Linked DNA regions of Drosophila melanogaster. Changing the gene in region 1 together with any one later gene gives a genetic interaction. Each region holds a gene or a part of one and is shown in the gene's direction. Other genes may lie near its edges. The genes, in order: Tbcd and Tbce.

Evidence for each region.
Region 2: of Tbcd (region 1) and Tbce, changing one enhances a phenotype caused by changing the other (phenotypic enhancement), as found in Drosophila melanogaster (one study listed by BioGRID).

Annotation. Positions count from the first base shown.
Region 1 is NT_033779.5:2,145,867-2,152,344, forward strand, and holds Tbcd (Tubulin-binding cofactor D), read left to right. Parts: upstream 1-1,651; 5' UTR 1,652-1,780; coding exon 1,781-2,723; intron 2,724-2,780; coding exon 2,781-3,914; intron 3,915-3,975; coding exon 3,976-4,395; intron 4,396-4,462; coding exon 4,463-4,929; intron 4,930-4,981; coding exon 4,982-5,587; 3' UTR 5,588-5,798; downstream 5,799-6,478. Other genes in the region: CG11723 (uncharacterized protein), read right to left, coding at 34-947, 1,020-1,158; AIF (apoptosis inducing factor), read left to right, coding at 6,169-6,280, 6,367-6,478.
Region 2 is NT_033778.4:6,040,364-6,045,592, forward strand, and holds Tbce (Tubulin-binding cofactor E), read left to right. Parts: upstream 1-2,168; 5' UTR 2,169-2,286; intron 2,287-2,291; exon of another isoform or gene 2,292-2,345; 5' UTR 2,346-2,564; coding exon 2,565-2,660; intron 2,661-2,729; coding exon 2,730-3,202; intron 3,203-3,251; coding exon 3,252-3,675; intron 3,676-3,732; coding exon 3,733-4,015; intron 4,016-4,070; coding exon 4,071-4,366; 3' UTR 4,367-4,601; downstream 4,602-5,229. UniProt on the Drosophila melanogaster protein: Tubulin-folding protein which is required for the development of the neuronal microtubule network. Essential for the development and function of neuromuscular synapses.

The DNA of each region.
Region 1 (6,478 bases):
AATGTAAAATCGTAAAAATTTGGTATGAAGTCTTCATAGCAGAGGCTCATTCTCTATCTTGACATCGCACTCAACCATGGAGCTGTCGACATAGTCAAACGAAGTTGGTGTTTTTCGGCTACTGATTTGGTAGCTGGAATTGGATAGATGGTACTGGGATTTCTCCAGCTGAGTGGCAAAACTGGAATTCGGGGCTGGTGTTAGTTTGGGCATGCTGCGCTCTAGAACGTCTTCGGGTCCCGCCGCCGCGAGCATGTGCTGATCCTCCTCCCTGAGTTCCACCAGAACGCGCGCCATCTCCATTCGAAACTTAAGATTGCTAATGGCTGACAGAGACTTTACGTGCGGCATCATGCTCATCAAGAAACTCAAGTCCGAATCGTTCTTTAGATCGGGTTCAGTGGTAGACTTTGACGCCTGGCTGGCGTATCCATTCAATAAGGGGACATCGTTAGACGGCGAAGTTTTCCTCCGACGTCCTCTCTTCGAAGGCGGGGGTGGACGTGGCAGGAATTGTTGGTGGCGCGGCAAGTGTATGGGCAATGTGGGCGATAGATCCTGATCGGAACGATGGGCGCCCGAGGATGAAGAATCCAAAGGCTTGATCAGCGAGCCTTTATCCGAGCCAGAGTCCTGGGGCACTGACGGCTCCCGCTTAAATATGTCCTCGATGATTTCAAAGTCAACAGAGTCATCATTGTCCAAATCCAAATCGATAGCGAAGTCAACCAGTCGGGTGGGCTCGAAGACTTCCGGCTGCTCGGTGTTCATCACGAAGGGCTCTGGTGGAAAGGGCACCAGGCCCTCCGGATCGAAGATTTGGCGCATGAACTCCAGTGAGCGAAAGTATGGCCAGTGGGACATCTCGATTCGTTTCTGCTGTATCTTGCGCACCTCTGCCCGGTAGCTGTCCCGCATTCCCTTGAAACGTTTCTTGCAGATCGAGACTGCAAAATGACCAGGTGTTATTTATAGGTTTCCTAGGCATATAAAACCCTCCTCGTTTATCCGCCACTCACCATCCTGCTGCATTATCTGCGCGACACTCGCCCACTGGAGAGCTGCGTCCTGGTTGCGGTACGAAATGGACATGTTTGTGTCCCACAGGCACCGCCGCTTGGACACCTCCTGTATGAGACGGTAGTTATCTGATTTCATGGCGCAGTGGACCAGAAATTGCGGTTTGTCCACAAATGCAATGCTCCGAAACTTGCGGATCCCGAATTTTCAACGCAATTTTCACAGCAATGACCGCGCTCACAGCAAACTCGACGAATGTGTGAGCGGTTTCGACCCGACGGTAACACTTTTAATATCCCAAATTCGGGCTTGCTTTGCTGCGTTTTGGTGGAATATACAAAATCTTGCTCTTGCTAAATCTCGCAGTTTCGCTTGCCACTACAAATAAATGATTAATTGCGCCTGGCAGCTCTGGTCGAACAGCTGCTTAACGGTATTACCAGGTGCATGCAAAACGGCCACACCAAAGGCACTATGACACTAGATGAACTTATTTAGTAGGATTTATTACAAACGTTTAAAGAGCACAATGTACAATAACTGCATTTGATTCCAAAAAAAAATGTTAGTTTAAAGATAAAGAATTAGATAAAGACCCTTTTGGTCGAAAAACAGTAAGAAAGAGACGAGTCAGTTCGTGGTGTCATACCAGCATACTTTCATTGGGGTTGCAACCCTGGCAGTAAAACAAATGATTCACAAACGAATTGATTTTGTTGCCGGCTGTGGGTTTAAAACTCGATAAAATCGTCAAGCAGCCATGTCGAATTCTGTGGAAGAGTGCAAGGATGAGGACCTGCCGGCAAACACGCTGGAGCACTTCACCGAACTGCAGCAGGTGCTGGAGATGATCGACAACATCAAATCCATTGCCGCTAACACCTTCGAAAGGGAGTTCGAGCAGTACGCCCAGGTTTTGTCTAGATATCAGGAGCAGCCACACCTCTTGGATCCACATTTGGAGGAGTTACTCGGCAAACTGCTCCACAAGATTCGGAAGCCAGATCTAGACACTGGAGAGCTTCATGCAGCCTTCAAGTATCTCTACATCATCTGCAAAGTGCGCACCTATAAGGTCCTGGTAAAGTTTATGCCACACGAACTGAGCGATCTGGAGTTTGTTCTGGATTTGCTGGGTCAGCAAAATCCCAAGGAGTTCGAACAGTGGGAAACGCGCTATATACTGCTCCTGTGGATGTCTATCCTGGTCCTAAATCCCTTTCACATGTCGAGACTAGATGCCTATGACACCTCCACATCTGCTCCCACCACCAATTGCAGTCCCGTGAACCATGTTCAGTCGAAGAACACCAAGATGGATCGCATCTTCGAGCTCATCCAGCTTTATGTGTCCTCCAACGACACATGCAGCAGCATGGCTGCTTTCCTGGCCGCCAAGTATTTCATTCGCAGTGACATCAAGGATCTATATCTGGAGCGCTTCCTGGACTGGATTATGGAGCAGCACCAAGCGGACACGTTGAACGTCAAGTTCGGCCAACTGGCTGCAGTGGCTGCTATTTTAAAGCACGGAAAGCGAGAAGATCTTCTGCCCTATGCGGACAAACTTCTTCAGTGGATCACTTCCTGTCAGTACAAGGATGACAACGACTTTCTCAAGTACAAGAACTATGTAAAAATCATCCAGAGAATTGGATTGGTTCATTTGAAGCCACGCATTGCCAGCTGGCGGTATAAAAGAGGTAAGCCTGGGGTTTGTTATTCACGCATGAAACCATAATAAACTAGTGTTTTCTTAGGCACTCGTTCACTGGCCACCAATCTAAACCAGACAACTGCGGCAGGAGGTGAACCAGTTGTTTTGGAGCAATCCCTGGAGGAAGGCGAGGAAATAGTGGTCCCCGATGCCATAGAAGAGGTGATTGAGGAGCTGCTCCAGGCACTGCGAAGCGGAGGAAACGATATACGCTGGAGCGCCGCCAAAGGATTAGGCAGAGTCACCAATCGCCTTCCCAAGGAGCTGGCCGATGAGGTTATAGGGTCTGTGATTGATATACTCAACCCGCTGGAACCCCACGAGGCCTGGCATGGTGCATGCCTGGCTTTGGCAGAACTGGCAAAAAGGGGATTGCTGCTGCCACATCGATTGGAGGAGCTAGTACCCCTCCTTATGCAGGCGCTCTTCTACGACGAGATGAAGGGCTACATGTCGGTGGGGCAACACATCCGAGATTCAGCCTGCTACATGTGCTGGGCATTTGCCAGGGCTTACAATCCGGATGATGTGAAGCCATTTGTGCACAAAATCTCATCTGGCCTGCTGACCGTTGCAGTGTTCGACCGCGAGGTGAACTGCAGGCGGGCTGCCTCGGCAGCTTTTCAGGAAAGTGTGGGACGCCTGGGCAACTTTCCCTTCGGAATCGAAATCTCCACCACGACGGACTTCTATTCCGTGGGCATCAGGCAGAATTCCTATCTAAACATCAGTGACTACATTGCACAGTTTGAGGTGTACAGGGAACCATTGATTAACCATCTAGTTCAGCATAAGGTAAGCCATTGGGATTCGGCTATAAGGGAGCTGACAGCCAAAGCCCTGCACAAACTATCCCTTTGGGAGCCCGAGTACATGGCCGCTGTGGTGCTGCCGCAACTGCTGGCAAAAACTGACACCATCGATATTAACTGCCGGCATGGTTGTGTCTTAGCCATGGGAGAAATAACACTGACCCTACGGAAACTAGAGGAAAAGAGTGATCCCCAAGTGGTTTACCTCTCCAACCAACGGGTTGCGGAGCTGAATGAACTAATAATAACGTTCCTAGACAAAAATTTCTATCGCGGAATGAGCGGCGACCTGATGAAATCTTGCACCAGCAGCTACATAAAGAACTGCAGTCTGGCCAAGTTGCAGGCTACGCCGGAGTGCTTGGGTAGGAAAAGAGTCCCTAAAGTATAACAAGCATATTATTTAATTGCGTTTATTCGTTTCAGTTTCCTGGCAGAAAGTCATCGATTCCTGTTTGATCACCAAATCAAACGCTATTCGGGATGGTGCGGTGGAAGCGTTCGGTGAACTCTGTACCACTTATTACTGCTCAGATTCCAGGCACGGGGAAAACGAAGCCATAATCAACACTTATCTAACAGGTGCAGATAACGATTTGGAGGAGCACATTCGCATGGGCTACATTGCTGCTCTGGGTGTGCTCCCATCCTTTATGATCCGCTGTCATCTGCAGGCTATATTGGACAGTCTGGTGAAGCACTCCCTAACTCCACTGCAAGCAGTTCTGGTGGGTGAAATGGGTGACCGCGAGAACATCCAGGCATACAGGTGGAGCGAGGCACGGACACAGAGCGTGCTGGCCTTGACCAAGTTGGTGAAGACCGTGGGATATGGAGGGGGAATTGGTGAGTCAATGATCTTAGTTGTGGGCTAAGAATGTGAACAAATCTTAGTATACAATTATTTTTTCAGACTCATTTGCTGAGCCGAAAAACTTTAACAAGGTTATCGAATGCCTGTTAAGAGCTCTTCAAGAGTACACCCTGGACAACCGTGGTGACATCGGAGCGTGGGTGAGGGAGGCGGCTATGTCATCGCTATACGAAATCGTCACTACGTGTCCGCCTGATCTCCTCGCCCCAGAGCAAGTGCATGAGATTGTCGTGGGCTTTATGCAACAGGCGGTGGAGAAGATCGATCGCACTCGTGGATTAGGTGGTCGCCTTTGCTGCCAACTGATCCATCATCAGCCGAGGATCCCCTACATACGGGAGCACTCAAAACTCTTGGAAATATTTCCCGCGGATGCGGATTCCGTACTTTGGTTATTTGCCGATCACACATTCCCGCTGTTCTGCGAGCTGCTCTCTCTGCCGGATTACTCTAAAAGAGTTCTTTTGGGTCTGAGTGCCAGCATTGGTCAACTGACTGAATCTCTTGTAAGTTGTATAGACCACCTCTATATCAATCTCTAAAATATTCTTCCTGCAGATCAAGTATGCCTCCAGTGCCTTATTCCACTTCTTGCGTTCCAATCCTGAGACTGTTCCGCGTCTCTGCTCCGAGGTGGTCCAGATTTTCGAGGAGCATCTACTAAACGAGCGCGTGACCTATCCTCTGCTCAGTTTCCTGGATATACTCATTGGCTCCGGAACTGTAGAATCGGTTCTACACGATGAAGCAAATCCCTTTGCAGAGGATATCTTTAGGCTGCTCAACCTGGAGGTTAAGGGCTACAAGAAGCTGTACAAGACTGCGACCAGCATCAGTGCTTTTTGCCAGTTGCTCCAGGTTCCTCGCCTGTCTAAACGCATCCTCTCCAAGCTCTCAGTATTTCTTGGACTGCAGCACGTCCACGTTCGCAAAACCGCTGCCACAAAATTGTACGAAGCGTTGGCTCTGCACGGCGATGTCACCGAAGTGCCCGAGGAGAATATGGATGAGATCCTAACACTGCTCTCCGAAACGGACTGGACCCAGCCGCTGGTGGAGGTGCGTCCGCTGCGGAACCAGTTGTGCCAACTAATGGACATCAAGCCTCCCGTAAGTGGAGCAGCTGCTGCAGCCGCTTTGCAGCAAGCGAGTGCTGATAAATGAATGTTCCCACATGTATTTAATATATATTAATGCACAATTGTACTGACAACATACATAAGTGGTATTCATAAGAATTTTTATTCTTTATTTTGGAAGCACATCTTTATTTTAACATGTTTTTTAATATTTATCGTTTTCAAAACAAAGAGCTTGTAAGTTCGATTTTAAAATTTCACTTGCTCAAAATAAATTAAATATTGTTCAACATTTCAAAAACCAACGAACACTTTTTGATAAAAAGTGGCTATTTTCAAGCCAAATAATTTCGAATAGGCGCTGGGCCATTTCCCATTTCATTGCGACGGTCACACTGCGACAGAGACAGAAAAAAACAAGACAGGCGAGGGAATGAAAAATAAATATAAATTAAACGCGGACTACCCAAAAGCAAGGAGGGATAAAGGAGTCGAGATCAATTAAACACCGCCGGACTTCACACGGAGAAATTTGTCATAGAAATTGGTTTTTTTGTAAATAAAACACGAACTCGCAAAACACACGTTTCTTTCGCCGCACAACGTTGTTACGTTACACAATTGTGGATTGTGGTGTCACCTACTCCGCAGCCAGTGCAAATCACGATGAGTATTTGGGGGGTCCGATGTCTGACGCAGAGGTTCATCCGGCAGGCGTACATCCTGGCCAACAGAAGGCTATTGGGTCCAGTGCCGCAGCGCTCGCCGCCGGCATACGGTAAGTGAGGTTATGGCCGGCTGGCCAAACCGATCCGTGTTTTCATGTTTTTGCCGATAACTAACTAGCATTCACGTCGATTTCAGCTCCTCTTCGGCCAGCCCACAGCAGCCTCTATCAAATGGTAAAGAAACGCACCCTTGAGGCGCGCACCAAATTGCAAGCCAACAAATATCCAAATCATCAAGTCTGCGTCAC
Region 2 (5,229 bases), on another chromosome or scaffold:
TCGAGCTTTCACTTTCTTCCTCTCGGCGCACGCGCTCTCGGCCTTTTTCTCTTTGCTAAATTGGGCGCCAAAAATGATTGTACCGGCTGCATTGAGTCGAGGGGGGCAATTTCTGATATTCATAAGCGAAGCACTTGTATGTATATGAAAATGTGTACATACATCTGCGGATGTGGATTTCCACTGCAACCGCCCGTCGTCAATCGCAAATTGGATTAGCAGTGGACGACGGTTAGGGGGGCGACTGACCCAGAAAAGATGATAATGCGGTGCCGGCAAGAAATAATACTTGTTAAACTTACTACATATATATCATTGACAGAAACACCCTGACTATCTTTTTATCTCTGATTATCTTTTTTTTTTCAAAAATTAGCTCACTACAATCCACTCTTTTTCAGTATATACGAATGATATTACCGTGCACTACAAGAATGCAAGCCCAACTGCAATTAACAGTAATTGGCGTAGCCATTCAGCAGCATTGCAAAACTACAGAAAGGGACCAAAAATGTAGATTTGAACAATTTTAAACTGGCTGGATATTGACTCGCATCAGTAATATAAAATTCTCCATAAAAATGCACCTCAGTTTTCAATGATAAAATAGAATGTAATGATAGATAGAATGTAAATGATAGAATGATGCGTTTTCGACCTTATAAAGTATTTTCCTTCAGGATCACTAGCCAAGTCGATTTGGCCGGACGGACGGACATGTCCCGATGAACGTCGAGATCTCAGGAACTAAACAAGCTAGAACGTTAAGAATAAGCATGCTGAAACGCAGGTACTGATGTAGCCACGCCCACAACCTGCGAAAAACTGTCACACCCACACTTAAAAATTTGTTTTTCAATTTCTATCGATATGCCAAAAAATGTTTCAATTTCTCGTTAGTAATTCCACTAGCTGGAGTATCTGATAGTCAACGAACTCGACTATAGCGATCTCTCTTGTTTTTATTTACTTGCGCACCGGCCATACATTGGTTTTACATTATCCACCACTTTTTTGGTGGCCGCAAATTAAACCGAATAGGATTATATTTTTAGATTATCATTGGGAATGAGTTAGAATTAATTTAATAACAATCTAATAGTAAAATTTACTGGAGCAAATGAATGTAAATATGATTGCGAAAAATTAACGACACTGATCAAATATAATTCTGCTGCAAAGTGCTCAAGTGCATAATAAACATTTGCAGGACACTCTAGGAAGTCGACAAAAACAATACATATATATATGGGGATATACTGTCCGCTTGCTTAAAAATGTCTTTCATGGCTCCATATTTCAGATCTTAAACACCGCACTTGAAAACACCGAATTTAAATTATCTCAAAATCAAAGAATCCAAATTAACATTACAATTAAAATACGGCGGGTTGCTAATGAAATTATGTATTTTTTTTTTCTAAAATTATTAAAATTAGAGAATATCTCGAACTCAATTTGATAAAATATTTACTAAAATAAGTAGCTACGAAGGGGCATTAGTGGTAAACACATTAACAAGCTGTTAGCTTAGTACAACATTTGAATTTGAAAATGGCGCACTATCAGAATGACTATCGATGTATGCATTACCACGAAAGTTACTGCACTACATGTAGAAAATACAATCTCCTTGAAAATCCCAAATAAATAATAATCTCATAAATAGTTTATAAATTACAAGACTTTTTATGAAACTCGCATTTTAGAACATCTATGAATCGGGTATTGATTTTGGCTTCCTATTTTATATATATTTTCATGTAGCTTTTAAACAGTCGTATATAAATAGATCTGTCAAAACAATGAAGAAACATGTTAATATTAAAGGCCCCAAGATACAAAAAATTCGCAATTCCTCAATCAATCGCTGCGAACTCACTTGCGCGCAAAGCTGTTCAATAATGTTTTATTCATAAAGTCTTGCTGAAATTCTCTGTAGCAAATATCATTTAGCTAGATTTCAATCTTTTGTATTTTTCAAAAAAGTCATTTAGAATGTGACACAAAACAGTTTCGGTTCATGAAATAGGACTTATCAGCGACTTTGACATATTTAATTGTTATTAATGGCTAATATTACATACCTTTAACAAGAACGTAGATCGAACTTGATATAATCGTCTGATTGACTGAGATGGCATTGGAAAAGTAAAAAAAACCAGGAAGCAATTTAAGGTATCATTTTTTAAAAAAAAAGTTGTTACCCTACGTTGGACGTAACGAATCCTTACGTTTTGCTCATTTAACGCCCCTCGAAGTGTGACCAGTCCGCGTAATGAATAGGTATTTCATTGATATCTGCTTACAGCCACATTTGACTAAACACTAAATATAAATAATAGTTTGTGACTCAGAATTTAGGCTTCAGGAGCTACGCAAAGCTTTATTTCCTCTTCATCAAAGCTGTAATGTTGATGTAAATCCAGGAGAAATCGTTTACAGCTATATCTGAACACATTCTGGGAGCAGCTGCGAATAAGCAGACAAAGGTGTGAACGAGTGTGTAACAGCCGTGTATACTTGTGTGGGCGCCGAGGAAACTACAAACAAGAGCCAAAGCGATGGTGGGAATTATCGATGAGGTGCAGCTTTTTTATCCCCTAGGAACCCGCATCAAAATTGGGGACAACTACGGCACAGTGCGTTATGTGGGAGAGGTGAGCCGTTGGCTGGTTTGGCTTCCGCAGGCATAAGACTTAATCCCAACCTGCTATCCGTATTTTTAGGTGAGCGGCCATATGGGTAGCTGGCTGGGAATAGAATGGGACGACGGACTGCGTGGCAAACACAACGGCATCGTGGACGGCAAGCGCTACTTTCAGACGCAGACACCCACGGGAGGCAGCTTCATCCGACCGGGAAAGGTAGGGCCGTGTGCCACCCTGGAGGACGCTGCTCGGGAGCGGTACCTAAACTACGACTCGAGCAACGTCGACGAGTCTCTTATCCGGGAAGCTCAGGCCAGCCTGCAGGCGTCGCTTTTTGAAGTCGTGGGCATGGACAAGATCGCTCGCAAGCAAAGCAAGTTCGAGCAACTGGAGGAGGTGAGTGTAGACCAGACGCCGGTAAACGCTGCCGGTTACCTGAAGGAGTTGACACACCTCACAACGTTGAACGTAAGCCATACCTTAATCTGGAATTGGGAGATCGTGGCCAGCATAGCGCAACAGCTACCCTCCTTAACCAACCTGAACCTGAGGTAAGTAAAAATAAGTAAAATGTGCCACTTTAATTGCCAAACCTTTTAGCTCCAACCGATTGGTCCTGCCCACGTCATCCCAAATCACTGAGCTTGAGCCCTCATTTCGGCAGCTCAAACGCATCAACCTTCGCAGTTGTGGCTTTTCCGACTGGAAGGATGTAATGCACACAGCGCTTCTCTGGCCAAATATTTTGTCACTGGGCTTACAGGAGAATTCACTCGGCCAGCTAGCAGAAGTCGATCGAACAAAGATATTTAAGCAGCTACATGAACTCGACTTACACCGCACGAACATTATGGATTTTGACCAGGTGACAAAGTTGGGCAACCTCACGACTTTGCGCTTACTGAATATCATGGAGAATGGTATCGAGGAGATAAAACTTCCCGACTGTGATTCACAAGAAAAGCTTAATATTTTTGTCTCGCTGGAGCAGCTGAACCTGCTTCACAATCCCATTTGGAATGAGGTAGGGCAGCGTTTTTTTGGCACTAAAAAATTTACTGTCATAATGTTATCCTCGCAGGCTGATGCGTTTAACGAGCTGGACAAGCTGCCACAGCTGAAACGCCTGAGTAAGACTCCGCACTTAAAGTCAAACTTTGATGAAATGTTCTCCAAAGCTGTAGCTAGCATAGCCAGCCTGCAGTTCATTAATAAAGCCGAGGTGACAGCGGAACAGAGACGTGGAGCCGAGTACGATATTTGGAAAAAGTATGCTCTAGATTGGATGCAGGCGACGCAAGGGGGGACAGATTCCTTACGGGAGTTTTGCCGAAGACATCGCACCTACCCCCTGCTGGTTAAAAGTAAGCTACTATCTGCCTTGGACATTCCAAAATTATTTAATATATATGTTTACAGAGTACGGTTCCCCGGCAGACTTTGTACCGCGTAGTCAAGCGAAGCAGTCGAATTTGATTAATGTTTCCATAAGACATCAGCTGACGGGCGAAACCTGGGAGAAGAAAGTCCCGCGAATGATTACTGTGCAGACGCTGCAGGGATTGGTTATGAAGCGATTCCGGTTAAGCGGTGACGTCCCGCAGCTTTGCTACGTTGATGCGTTGCATCCGGATCTTGTGGTACCATTGGATAACAATGCTAAAACACTGGACTTTTATTCTGTACAGGAGCATGATACAGTTTTGGTTCAATAGCGGCCAGTATAATAGCACGGACTTTGCACCATTCTCCGTATTTAGATGTATTACAGTTTTAGACAAATGAAAATCAAAAATTCTTGTTCGATTTTACTTCTGTCTCCCTCTGTTTTAAAGTGCAAATGTTATGTTAAGGTACTAATAAGTTGAACATTTCACTAAGCAATTCCACTCAGATATTTATACTGTTTTGCTTTTCAAAAAAGAAAACACGTTATTTAACCAGATAATTAAAAAAGCTTTTTTGCTATTATTGTGGGACATAACGATGTTATCAGCTGTATTAAAGTTGAAGTAAATGTGTATTGGATTGGAAATCAACAAAAATACCGGCCGACGGCCATGGCAAGTTCGACAAGCGAAGCTACTGATCCTTGTCGAGAACATATATATTTTAATATCTTAAAAGCGGCGGGCGCAGAAACGTTATCTTTTCAATTTATGAAGCCATGCTAATAATGTGGGACATTTTTCTTTAGCGACCTCAACAGTCCGATAACTTCCTTACTCGTATAGTAAAAGGTAACTATAATTGTAGAGAAGCGCAACCTTGTTGTCGAACAGTTGCTCCTACTAGTTGAGCAACAGGTAGCTAGTTTTCTCTGATGTTTATTACTTTCCTCTGGATTCTATAATCAGCAATAATTTATGAAGAATGTAAATTCAACAGCAATTCTCAGTTTCCAAAAATATTTTCCCTAATGTAATAAATCGCTAAAATTTGCATAATTCGGCTCCAGCAACTGTCGCCTGGCATTATCATTAATAGAGTCGGACTTAATTGTTGACAAAGTTAAAGTTGCTCATAAAACAGAAGGAACCGCCCCCACGAAAAAGTAAGGCATGTTTACGACTTGCAG